Mus musculus: one gene and its partner. The protein of the gene in region 1 interacts with the protein of each later gene in a biochemical or structural test. Links are inferred from orthologs where the notes say so. Each region holds a gene or a part of one and is shown in the gene's direction. Other genes may lie near its edges.

Region 1 (6,202 bases):
AATCAGTGTTTTGTGGGAGAAGCTGGAATCAGTAGTAGAAGGAAAAATATCTCTCTCTGCCACTAAGGAACACCCACACTTGCCCAATGGGGCCATCTTTTGCTGTCATGTGAGTGAAGCCTTCTGGAATATAAAAATTTCTTTCCAGAAAAATTGAGAGCTGAGAGTTAAAAAAGCAGACTTGGAAACATGTGTCATCAATTTAACCAGAACATTTCCCCCCTTCCCTTCATACTCTTATTTATTTTTTCTGTTTATAGACTTAGTGTATTTACTTTTGTTTAGTTATTCACTACTATGTATCCAAACACACTAATATTAAGATTTCTAACATGGGGGATAGAGAGGTTGCTCAGAGGTTAAGGACCCTGGTTCCAGTCCCAGTACCAACATGTTGTCTCAAACAACCTGTGACTCTGGTTCCAGAAGATGCAAAGCCCTTTTCTGGCCTCTAGGGGCACAGAACATGTACATAGTACACACAAGTAGGCAAAACACCCACACATAAACCTAAAAACGATTGAAAAACATAAAGACTTCTGATATCACTAGCCAAATAACTGCACTAATTTAACCCAAAATGATTGTTTTATTGGAGATTCTAATTTGTTTGCTTGTGTTTGGAAATCACAGTGCAATAACTGACTTGTATAGGTTTTAAAGGTTAATTAAAATGCCAGCTATGCAACTACCAATGAATCCTGATTGCAGAACTGTGAGGCAGAACCTACGAAGGCTGTACATACAAGACAGCCAAGCAAAACTGCTCCTAGAAGCATACTCAACAATAATTGAATAAAGTTGTGCAACAAGATGTTTCCTTAGGAAATGAAATAACTAGGCTATTTATAATAGCCCTGAATTAGAAGCAATCCTGAAGGTGACTATTGTGATATTCAAATAGTAGACTGCTTAAAATATGACAACATATTTGTTGGGTTAAAAAAGAAGTCAAAACAAAGAATATATCAATACATCGTTTCATTTATCAAAACTGGCAAACTTTTTATTGAACTATTTGCATAAAGTCTGAATTGTGGTTATTCACGAGGCACAAAAAGAGAGAAGAGTGGTTTTCTGGGATCCACGAATGATGCCTTTTCTTCTGGGTAGTAAGTAAACAAATATATGTAGCTTGTGATAATTAAGCCACACACATTACCTGTGCACTTTTCTCTATTAACATTTCAATAAGAACAAAAATCAACATGCAAAGATTATATTCCAATAACAGCTCATGAGAAACTTCATTTAATGGATAAAGAGGAAGATTTCATACAAATATGTTCAAGTATGTAAAACTAGTAAGGATCATGTAACACTTTGGAGAAAAGTTCGCTGAAGAATATAAAAAATGACCATTGGCAAAAATTATATAAGATAAAGAGGAATGCTATGGAGCATTGTCTCTTGGACATGACAGGGCCATTGCATCCACGAATAATAAACTAAAGCTATGGAAAGATTATAAAGATACAATCAAGGCTGGAGAAATGGCTCAGCAGTAAACAGCATCGGCTGCTCACACTAAGGACCAGGGTTCGACTCCCAGTAATCACAGGGCAGTGTACAACTGACTTCGTTTCTAGGAGTTCCAACGCCCTCTTTTGGCCTCTGTAGGCACAATGCACACACGTGGCACACAAACATTACAGACAGGCAAACAAACGCATACACACGAAAGAGAGATCAAATTGATAAAACTTAAGTTTACTTATATTAATTCCATAAAACAATACGTGGTAAGGGTGTGGATATTCTCAAACACTATTGGCTACAGTTTAAGTTTGTAGAGCAACCGTGGCGCGTGATTATCTGTATATATTTAAAATATGTATAGCCTATTTTCCACCTTTCTTTATCCTAGTACTCACACATGTATGTGGTTTAGTTTCCCCATGGTATATACGTGTGGACATACACACAATTTATCTTTGGTTAGGTCAACTTCAATAAATTCAGAAGAAAAAAACCGAAAAGTTAAATTTTCTCAGTGCGCAGGACGGGACTAGTGGGATTTGAAATGGTGAGAGGTAATGGACATGCTGATCACAGGAACGCTGGGGAGGCAGGGAGGTGGAGGAGAGATGGCATCTGTGACAGAAGGCCAGGGCTTTCCATCTAGGCAAAGCAAGCACTTGGCAAGGAACTTAGAGCTGGTCTCCAGGTGGGTCACCAGCGGAAGCATCGCGGGTCCTGAGTGGGTGTGAGGGTGAGGTGGGAGTCCGGGAAACATAGGGGGTGAGGGGTGGGAAGGGAAGAGCTCGCGCCCGCGCCCGCGCCCGCGCACCACGCCCCCCCCCCCCCCCGTGGACCAAGCGGCCTACTCGCCAGCACACGCACGCCATGCTGGCACGCGCACCACGCCCGCCTACCCGTTTGCGCACGTGAAACGTGCTCCGCACGCGCATCACGCATGCCCACTCGCCTGCGCACGCGCCCCCCCCCCCCAGCTCGCGCTCCACGCACGCCCTCTTGCCTGCGCACGCGCACCACGCCCGTTCGCGCGCCCGTCTCTGCAAAAGGTTCCTTTTTTTTTTCCACCTTGGTCGAGTCGCTTCCACCATGGCGGAGATGGCAGAGCTTTGCGAGCTGTACGAAGAAAGCAACGAGTTGCAGATGGACGTGCTGCCCGGCGAGGGCTATATGGAGGTAGGCCGCGGGGCCCGCGGGCCGGCCCCGGAGGAGGGCCCCATGGAGGAGGAGGCCGGGCCGGCCGCCGCCCGCGCCCAGCGCGGTCTGTTCCCCGAGGCTGGCGCGGACCTGGAAGGCGACGAGTTTGATGACTGGGAGGACGACTACGAGTTCCCTGAAGAGGAGCGCTGGAGCGGCGCGATGCACAGGGTGTCCGCCGCCCTGGAGGAAGCCAACAAGGTGTTCCTGCGAACCGCGCGAGCCGGAGATGCCCTGGATGGCGGCTTTCAGGCGCGGTGTGAGAAGAGCCCTTTCGACCAGCTAGCTTTTATCGAAGAGCTGTTTTCGCTGATGGTTGTCAATCGACTGACCGAAGAGCTCGGTTGTGATGAGATCATTGATCGAGAGTAAATGCTGACGAGAGAGGAGGAAACTACCTGAGAGGGAGAGATTCAACATTCTGCTATTTTGGGGTTCATTCCAAATAGTTCTGTGCAAAAAATAAAAACAGTTGGTTTTTGTTTCTCGGAATAGAAGACGGGACAGTGAATGACCATGCATTGTGGAAAAGGAGAATCGAGGAAGGAGGAGTGTTAAACCTGAGAATCGCGAGGAGAAAAAGACCAAATCGTTCCTCTTTGGTCTCACAGGGGCTCAGCAAAAACCTCTGGTTCAGACTGTTGATCGAGATGATTTTCCTTACATTGGAGAAGAGCTTTCTCTGTTAAGCTTTTAAAGATGGTTTGGAAGAGTAAATTGTGACTACCAATACAAGAATCTAATTAAAGAATGGGGGGAAATACATTCCAAGATGTCTTTAATTCGAACTGAAAGGCTATTGAAAAAAAAAAAAACTTTCCAAATTCTTTTTGGTGATTTATACACATCAGTTATCAAAAGCTAAACTTGAGGTTTAAGATTGAGTATTCATCTACCCCACAGAGTAGTCCAAGTAAATGTGGGTATAAATGTAGACGTGTTATCATGTGTGCTGTCATCTTAAAATGTGTTACAAACGCTTCTGGAATTTTGACTGCACATGTATCTTCATGATTTATAAAGCTACTGTGACCTCTAATTTGGAAAAACCCATTGTAATGATTTTCAAAGTAAAGAAAGAAACAGGATGTCTTTTTAAGGTTTTAAGTTCATGCATTAAATAAAATGTATGGGAAAGCCCAAAGACAAACTTTCTAATACCCTTTTATACTAGGGAAATTTCACTTGCTGTTTTGTACCTTGACAGATGGTAAGACTATAACTGAAGTTCATATTGTAAGAACTGTTTGCTAAAATTGTCAAGTAAAAAGAAATCCTGCCTGTATCTATAAAAAGATGTATGAGCTATTATGTTGTCAAACTTTGAAGGTTTTAAACCTACCCAGAAGTCCACCTGGGTGTCTGATATTCATATTCTCTCTCTCCCTCTCTGCCTCTTTCTTCCCCTCCCCCTCCCTTCTTCTAATTATGCTTGTTAATCTTTATGCACCAGCATTGGCGATAATAAATTTTCTTGTTCTGTGTATTTTGCTTTGTCTAATAGCTTTGCATACATGCTTTATACAGGATTCTCTTGCTGTGTGTGCCACGCCTCCATCTTGATATTTAAACATCCAATGCTTACAATGTAAACCAGTATCAAATATCCAAAAAATGGGTTCTGGGATGTTAAAGCAAATTTCAGAGTTTTCTGGAAGACCCGCTCTGTGAATGTGATGCTATGGCTTAATTGATGCTGAAGTTCCTTGAGAAGAAAATGATGTATTAGCACGATGTCCCTGCTGATGCCACCATGGCAACCAATACAGAACAGAGCTGAGACAGTAGGATAACTCCTGGGTTTCTGTGGGGTTGGTTGGTTGGTTTTACAGTCATCTTGTTTGAGAGGCTGCCGAGGTGGTTCAGTGGGTAAAGGTACCTTCTGCCATATAGCCAAGCCTGATGGCCTGAGTTTGATCTCTGGGGTCCATGTGGTGGAGGGAGGGAGAGAGACCTCCCCCAAGATTGGGCAGGCCTGTTAGTAATTTTAGACCCTCACCTGGGATTTTAGTTGCTCCTGTACCTCCAAAGCACCTGTACATAATTTTGCCCCGGTTACATGTGGTTTCAGAAGGTGCTAAAACACAAAAGGTGGGAGGTTGGCTGATGTTAGGTGGGGACTCGTGTTTGGGAAGCTGTCACCCATGTTAGGGTAGGACATTTAGATAGAGCCGCTACAAACACTTCCATGGGTAACCCCTCAGCCCTCTTTTTTACTCACCCAATAAATTGCCTCACTAGTTGGACTTGAGGGAATCATTTATTGATCTGTTATTGGTATTTACCTGCTGTAAATAGACTTTTGTTCACATCTCCACAGAAATATAATACAAATATCCATAAATTTGAGTGTATTTGTGTTTGGGGACCAAAGTATATCGTGGAAGTTAAGAGGAGAAGCCATGCATTGGTATTTCTTTGTATCCTTTATTCTGCATTTATCTATCTATCTATCTATCTATCTATCTATCTATCTATCTATCTATCTATCTATCTATCTGGGAGATTCATGCCACAGTAAGCAAAGGGCAAAAAATAACCTTCAGGAGTTGCTTCTCTCCCAGCATTTGGGTGGGGCCTAGGGATCAGACACAGGTCATCAGGCGTGGTAGTAAACTCTTTTACTCACTGGACCCTCTTGTATTTATCTTTAGTTTTGTGGCGATAGGGTCTCACTATGTAGCTCCAGCTGTCCTAGAACTAGACCAGGCTGGGCTCATACACACAGAGTTCTGCCTCCTGCATGCTGGGATTTAAGGCATGTGCCAACATGCCTGGCATTTTTATTTTAAGATGTGTGTGTGTGTGTGTGTGTGTGTGTGTGTGTGTGCACTTCACATGCTCATACCATGGTACACATGGAGTTCAGAAGACATCTCTGAGAATTTCTAAAAAGCCCAGCTAGGGCAAGTTTTGGAGGAAGCCTCAGAGATGCGGCTTTTGTGAGTTCTCATCCTTGCTGGATGAACACTCCCCACCCCACCCCCACCCCCGCCTCCCAATGCAGCTTCCTTTCGGGTCATCCATGCACCTGTAAGTACCCCTCATCCATTCTCCTGTAAGTAGTCTCATCAGTCACTGCTCACAAAACTAGGTGTGGGTGGGACTGACTGGTTTGTCATCCCAGTGCCTTAGGTGGGGTGAACAGATGTTTGTTGACATCTCCCGAGCAAAAGTCACACAGCACACCTCAGGTTAAAGGATAGTGGGGAGCAGAAACAGACTAGACGATGCCTCACCACCATGTGCACCTCAGCCCCACTGCTTTTACACTCCCCAGGTCATTTTAGCCCTCCCCATGGAAGGGGCCATTTAAGAAACAATTATTAGCTGAACATGGTGGCACATACCCTTGATCCCAGCACTTAGGGGGCAGGATCAAGGCTAGTCTTTATGAGTTCAAGGCTAGTCTGATCTACATTGCAAGTTCCAGGACAGTCAGGACTTAGAGAGAGTCTGTCTCAAAAACAGAAAGAAAATGATTATTAGATTCTACACATGAGACTGTCGTCTTATCTCCAGCTTTGCC
Region 2 (6,226 bases), on another chromosome or scaffold:
ACAGGGAAGTAGGCTCAGAAATCTTGGTCACCCTTAGAAAAACAGTGGTCAAAGGAGTGATCACAGGACTTTGTTTATTGCCTTTGGGGATGGGGGTGGGGGGCGGAGACAGGGTTTCTCTGTGTAGCCCTGGCTGTCCTGGAACTCACTCGGTAGACCAGACTGGCTTCAAACTCAGAAATCCGCCTGCCTCTGTCTCCCAAGTGCTGGGATTAAAGCAAGGACAGTGCTTGTTCCTTGACTATTTGTGTTTATTGTACTGCTTGACCTTGTTACTTGCATGGAATTAGAATGGTATAAAAGCAGATTGGGAAAAAAATAAACCCACCTCAGCCTCAGAACTGGCTGGGGTCATGCTACAATGTTGTCTGTCCTTTTTCTTTTTAATCCTCACTCCTTCGCTGGAGAACCTGTTGACGGACTGAGCTGGCTTGGTCACGTGAGCACACAAAATAAATTAAAATGTAAATAAAAGCTCATCTAAAGATGAGACCCAAGCGAGATTCTCCTCTGACCTTCAATCACACGCACACACATATGCACACACATGCAGGCATACGTGCTCTCATTTACACACACATACACACACATATACACACATGTGCACACACATGCATTAAGAAAATAAAGCAGCCGGGCGGTGGTGGCGAATGCCTTTAATCCCAGCACTTGGGAGGCAGAGGCAGGTGGATTTCTGAGTTCGAGACCAGCCTGGTCTACCAAGTGAGTTTCAGGACAGCCAGAGCATATGGTAATTGTTGTATTGCCAGAGAGGGCATATATGTCCCCCAAATCATGAAGGATTGTTGAGTGGAAGACAATTAAAAGCAGACACCATGAACACCTCTAAAATCACACTCAGCATTTTGGGAGGCAGAGTCAAAGGGATCAGCGGCTTGAAGGAGCCCAGTCACACAGAGGAGAGCTCCCCACGATACTTCGACCTGCTTCAAATCAGGACATAGATTCAGGGGTTACTACTATTCTCCACACCATCATAGAGCTAGAAATAGGGGTCCCCAAAAACAAATAGTATGCTTGCCTCAGTACCCAGTGGAGAGTGAGTCACCCGTGGAGAAGGCCAAATCACTTCCAGGAAGTGCTTGGTATAAGATAGCCATTTTCAACAGCTTAATTTTGGGACTATGGCATGGCTGTAAAGTGCATGGCTAACCGGCACCAAGCCCTGGGTTTCACCCCCGCACTACCACCTCTGAAGTACATCTTGGTGGTGTATGCCTTTAATACAAGCTATGGGAGGTAAAGGCAGGGGGGCCAGAAACTCAAGGTCCTTCTCCAATACATAATTCAAGACCAGAGTGGACTACATCAGACTCTGTCTCAAATTGCTTTTGAGATCGGATCTTAATATAGATAGCCCAACTTTTGATCTGCGTGCCTCGGTCTCCTGAGAGCTGGGAATTAGGAAGTAAGCCACCATAGTCATTTTTAACTTTTAGTTATTGTCTATGTGGACTCATGTCCCATCGAGAAGGTGAAGGCCAAAGGGCAATTTTGTTTTGTTTTGTTTTGTTTTTCGAGACAGGGTTTCTCTGTGTAGCCCTGGCTGTCCTGAAACTCACTCTGTAGACCAGGCTGGCCTCGAACTTGGAAACCCACCTGCTTCTGCCTCCCAAGTGCTGGGATTAAAGGCGTGCGCCACCACTGCCCGGGCAACCTCGATATATTTATTTTCGAGACAGGGTTTCTCTGTGTATCTCTGGCTGTCATGGAACTCGCTCTATAGCTGAGGCTAGCCTCGAACTCTGAGATCTGCCTACTTCCACCTCCTAAATGCGGAGATCAAAGGTGCCACCGCCTCCCCGAATTTGCGTGTCATCCTAGGCGCAGCATCCATGCAAATCTCTGCATCGTTCCAGTTTTAGTATCTGCGCTGCCGAAGACGAGCACCCAGCTATCATTTTTAAAAATGCCCCTGGGAGAATCAGGACGCGAAAGGACCATTTATCTCTGCAGCAGCAGCCAGCTCTCGCCTCTGGCTCTTCCCAGTCCTCCAAGCGGAGTGGGCGGGACCCCCTGGCGTGGGCGGGGCGTTCCCAGCCACTCCCCCTGAGGGCGTGGTACGGCTTCTTAGGCTCCTATCGCGCGCGCGCCCGCCCGCACAGCGGCCCCCTCAGGTACGCGGACAAGATGGCGTCGGTAGCGGGGGACAGCGCTATGGAGGTGGTGCCGGCGCTGGCCGAGGAGGCCGCGGCTGAGGCGACGGGCCCCAGCTGCCTGGTGCAGCTGCCGGGCGAGGTGCTGGAGTACATCCTGTGCAGCGGCTCGCTCACGGCGCTGGACATCGGCCGCGTGTCCAGCACCTGCCGCCGCCTGCGCGAGGTGTGCCAGAGCAGCGGGCAGGTGTGGAAGGAGCAGTTCCGGGTGAGGTGAGCGAGCATCCCGTTCCCGGGACCCGCAGAGCCCCTCGGCGCCGGGCCTCGCGTGGGGCCCCACCCCGCCACCCTCCGGGCCTCCGGGCCGCGCGCCGCCCTCTTCCCGCGGCCGCAGACAAAGGCCTGCCTGCAGCCCGGGGGGCCCCCTCCGGAGCTCCGATGGGGTCGCGGCAGCCGCCCGAGGCCGGGGCCTCCGGAGCGCTCCGCCCCGGGGGGCTGCGGCCTTCACGCGCCTCCCGGCTGCAGGAGGAGGCGCATCTTTTGTGGCCGCTGCAGGATGTTGACGTGCAGGCAAAGCAGCGGTGCGTGCATTCCTGGCTAGCTCCTTAGGATGCCGGCATCGGACCTGCCAGTCCAGCTCGTGACCTTGGGGGTGGAGGGGGTGATGTCGGTCCACCTCCCTTCTCCAGAGCCTGGGTCTCCTGGTCGGTGATGAGACCCCCCCTCCTTTTTTTTTTTTTCCCATTATGGGGAATCAAATAAGATGAGGCCCGGGTTTGCAGGGCCTGATGCTGAGGGAGGCGCGCCATCCACGAGAACCGTTAGCATCACTGTGATTGTGGCCAGCGCAGAGATTGGGGGGCGGAGGGGGGGCGGCGGCTACTGGTGGTAGAAACGCTGCCTTTCGTGTCGCCACGCCAAGGTCACTGCATCTGAGTAGTGAGGGAATGCATTGCATACGCTATGATTATTGCAACTAGAGCCTCTGCCAAGTCCACCCCCCCCCCCTTGCCCGCAGACTCCTCCGTGGTTTTTTGCAGTCTCTGCGGAGCTGAGAAAGGGTGTTTTCTCTCCCCCCCCCCCCCTTATAGGTGGCCCTCCCTGATGAAGCACTACAGCCCCACCGACTACGTCAATTGGTTAGAGGAATATAAAGTTCGGCAGAAAGCTGGGTTAGAAGCCCGGAAGATTGTAGCTTCCTTCTCCAAGCGGTTCTTTTCAGAGCACGTAAGCATCAGGCTTGGTCATGCTCTGTGTGTGTGTGTGTGTGTGTGTGTGTGTGTGTGTATGTGTGTTCGTGCGCGCACGCGCTCGTTCGTGTGTGCCTGCCATAGCTTTTCAGCTCTTGTTCCTATTTCCCTTTTCACTGCTCACACAGCCCTTTGCTTGCATGCTTATAAGAGTCATTGTGTCCCCTCTCCTCCCGTCCAACAACACGGAGCCATTTGTCCCTGCTAGCCCTACTTTTTTTAAAGCCAGAGGGAGTGGGGTGTTGAGGAGCGGAAAGGGACACAGGGCGGTGTCCACTAGGTCCAGAGAAGCCTTACTCTTTGAGACTGTTAGGCGCTTTATGCACTGTCAACCTCTTGGTGCCTGTTTCCCAGGGAGGCTGCAGAAGTGCATGCCGTGCAGGGAACTGCCTTTTTAAGGAACCAAGGTTAAAAGCTGCCGTAGCTGCTCCTAGCCATTGAGCATTTCTGTTTATCACTGTGGCTCTTTGTTCCGAGAGAGGAGGTTCACTATGCGGCCCAGGCTGGCCTTGAACTCCCGTCCAGCCTCCTGAGGACTGCGATTCCCAGGAGGCAGCCTCAAGCCTGGCTCGAGTCGTGTGTCGCTTTTCTGTAAGGGCTGAGATGTGTGTTTCTTTTCAGGTTCGGAGTTAGTCGTTGTTTTTCTCCCTTGTCCAGAAATGTCCCATGGAAATCGGTGTCCGTTCCATTCACTACTTTTTGTAGGGCTAGGGAATTGTCCCCTCTCGTATTTCCAGTCCCTGCAGATTGTGAGCCGACCAGTGTAGCTGACAGTGCTTGTTTAGTTCTTCTAGGTTGGTGAAGGTTATTTTCTGAAGGTTAGTTCTGATTTCCCACTCTGCTGTTAAAGGAGTTTATGAGCAGCGTTTTCAAGGCGTTTCAAGTTTTGAAAGAGCAGATCTGAACTTTGAACACATTTTTAACTCAGTCCCCAATGGGAACTACAAATAGACACCCCCCAATTTGTTTATAGAAATGCTTGTTAACGGCAGAATGAACCAAGGTTTGGTTCAGTCTGGAACAGTGCCCCTGCCAGTCAGTAACTACAAGTGTTCAGTCCTGGCTTAAATGTGCGCACACACAGGTGTTTTGATGCGGGGCATGTGGGATACAGTTAGTCACAAGCCACTGGTTCACAGGCTCTCCCTGGGATCCACCTGTGGTTGTGTGTGCTTTTCTCTAATAATGATGGATCGGTGAACTCTACTCCCCCCCCTTCCCTGTGTCACTGCTTACTTAATTAGAACGTGTGGTGGACTTTGAACGCAGCAGGGGCACAGTTAGAGGTGGATGCATAGATGGGTGATCAATTTGGCTCAGCACACTGGTTTTCTTGTTTTCTCCATGTGCACACAAATCAACCTGAAACACTGGCTGCTTTCAAAAGGGAAACTGGGAAAAATCCCAGGATGTTAACCCAAGAGTCTTAATGGACCACCACTTCTACACACATACCATCCACTTAACACACATCTATCTCCTTAGCAGGCTCGGAAACTCGGACTGTGTGAGTGTGAGGCTGTAGCCACGGGTGCCAGGTCTGAATGTGCCGTGGCTGCCATGTTGGTTGCTTTCTGCCCTGGAGGCCCTAGGAGGCTGTGTGTAAGAGCCGCTGTCACTGCTCTATGTGTGGCCTCCCTCCCTTGGGACTCTCAGCTATGTGTCTGCCAGGGTCAGCCACGCTAACTCATGGTTGAGGCCTCCTGTGTGTGTCTTCTCCACAGGTCCCCTGTAATGGCTTCAGTGACATTGAAAACCTTGAGGGCCCAGAGATCTTTTTTGAGGATGAGCTGGTGTGTATCCTAAACATGGAAGGAAGGTAAGGCACAGCTTCACCAGGATAACTGCAGAGGGAATTGCTGTGGGGCAGAGAGAGAGAGAGAGTGAGAGAGAGAGAGATTGCGCGAGCGAGCGAGGGAGCTGCGGTGTTTCCAGATAGTTTATGTTATGCCACAGTTATGCTCTGAGAAGCTTTGTGTACACCTACTCCCGGGGTGCACAGTTGACAGGTGGCTCACCCCTGAAGTCCCAGTGCTCAGGAGGTCGGGGCAGGAGAAGCGGCAGCTTTGAGAGAGCGCTGCATAGTGAGCTTCAGAACATCCTGGGATACAGATAAAGTCTTTTGAAAAAAAAAAATGTCAGGGGAGCCGGGGAGACAGTCAGTGAAGACCCAAATCTGAGCTCCCGTGTCATGCAGTGGCCATTCTAGTGCTGGCCTTGATGGCCACCAGCTTAGGCACACAGAGAGTACCAAACTCCATCGAGAGATTGTCTCTAAAGCTAGTGCATATGACTCGTGAGGAATGAGACCTTTGATCGACCACAGGCCTCTATATACGCTCACGTGTGGCTTTACTGAGCACGGGAAGACCTCTTTTCTTGTAGGTATCTAAATAGTAATTCCCTACATGCACTTAGCCATGGGGGGCCCATTTAAGGGGCAGGGGAAGGTGAGCCTGTGTTCTCCACAGACACACTTCTGATTAAGAAGAGCCCCTTGCGGGCTAGAGAGACAGACAGCTCAGTATGAACTGCTCCACTTGGACATAGGACCTGACTTCAGTTCCCAGCACTCACATTGGGTGGCTCCCAGCGCCAATAACACCAGTGCCACAGAATCTGAACCCTCTTTTGACCTTCTCAGTGCAGTCATGGACATATCATCGCTTAACATAAAAATGACCCCTTATCTTTTACTGTTGTTTTGAATGGGTATGTTTTGTATTTTCTGCCGAAAAGCTTCATTTCCAGTACACTGGTGACTTGACTTGCAGCCTAAGGAGAGACCTTCTATTCTAAAAGTTGGAGATAAAGATGAATGTCCGGAGGGGACAGTGTTTTGGGGGTGGGGGGTGGGGA

Evidence for each region.
Region 2: of the proteins of Eid1 (region 1) and Fbxo21, one has a biochemical effect on the other in vitro, tested with the Homo sapiens proteins (2 studies listed by BioGRID, with this or other methods). The link is inferred for Mus musculus from reciprocal best matches to the Homo sapiens genes EID1 and FBXO21.

The regions. Positions count from the first base shown.
Region 1 is NC_000068.7:125,670,627-125,676,828, forward strand, and holds Eid1 (EP300-interacting inhibitor of differentiation 1), read left to right. Parts: upstream 1-2,565; coding exon 2,566-3,045; 3' UTR 3,046-5,017; downstream 5,018-6,202. UniProt on the Homo sapiens protein: Interacts with RB1 and EP300 and acts as a repressor of MYOD1 transactivation. Inhibits EP300 and CBP histone acetyltransferase activity.
Region 2 is NC_000071.6:117,974,650-117,980,875, forward strand, and holds the start of Fbxo21 (F-box only protein 21), read left to right. Parts: upstream 1-2,120; 5' UTR 2,121-2,151; coding exon 2,152-2,390; intron 2,391-3,208; coding exon 3,209-3,344; intron 3,345-5,091; coding exon 5,092-5,186; intron 5,187-6,226. UniProt on the Homo sapiens protein: Substrate-recognition component of the SCF (SKP1-CUL1-F-box protein)-type E3 ubiquitin ligase complex.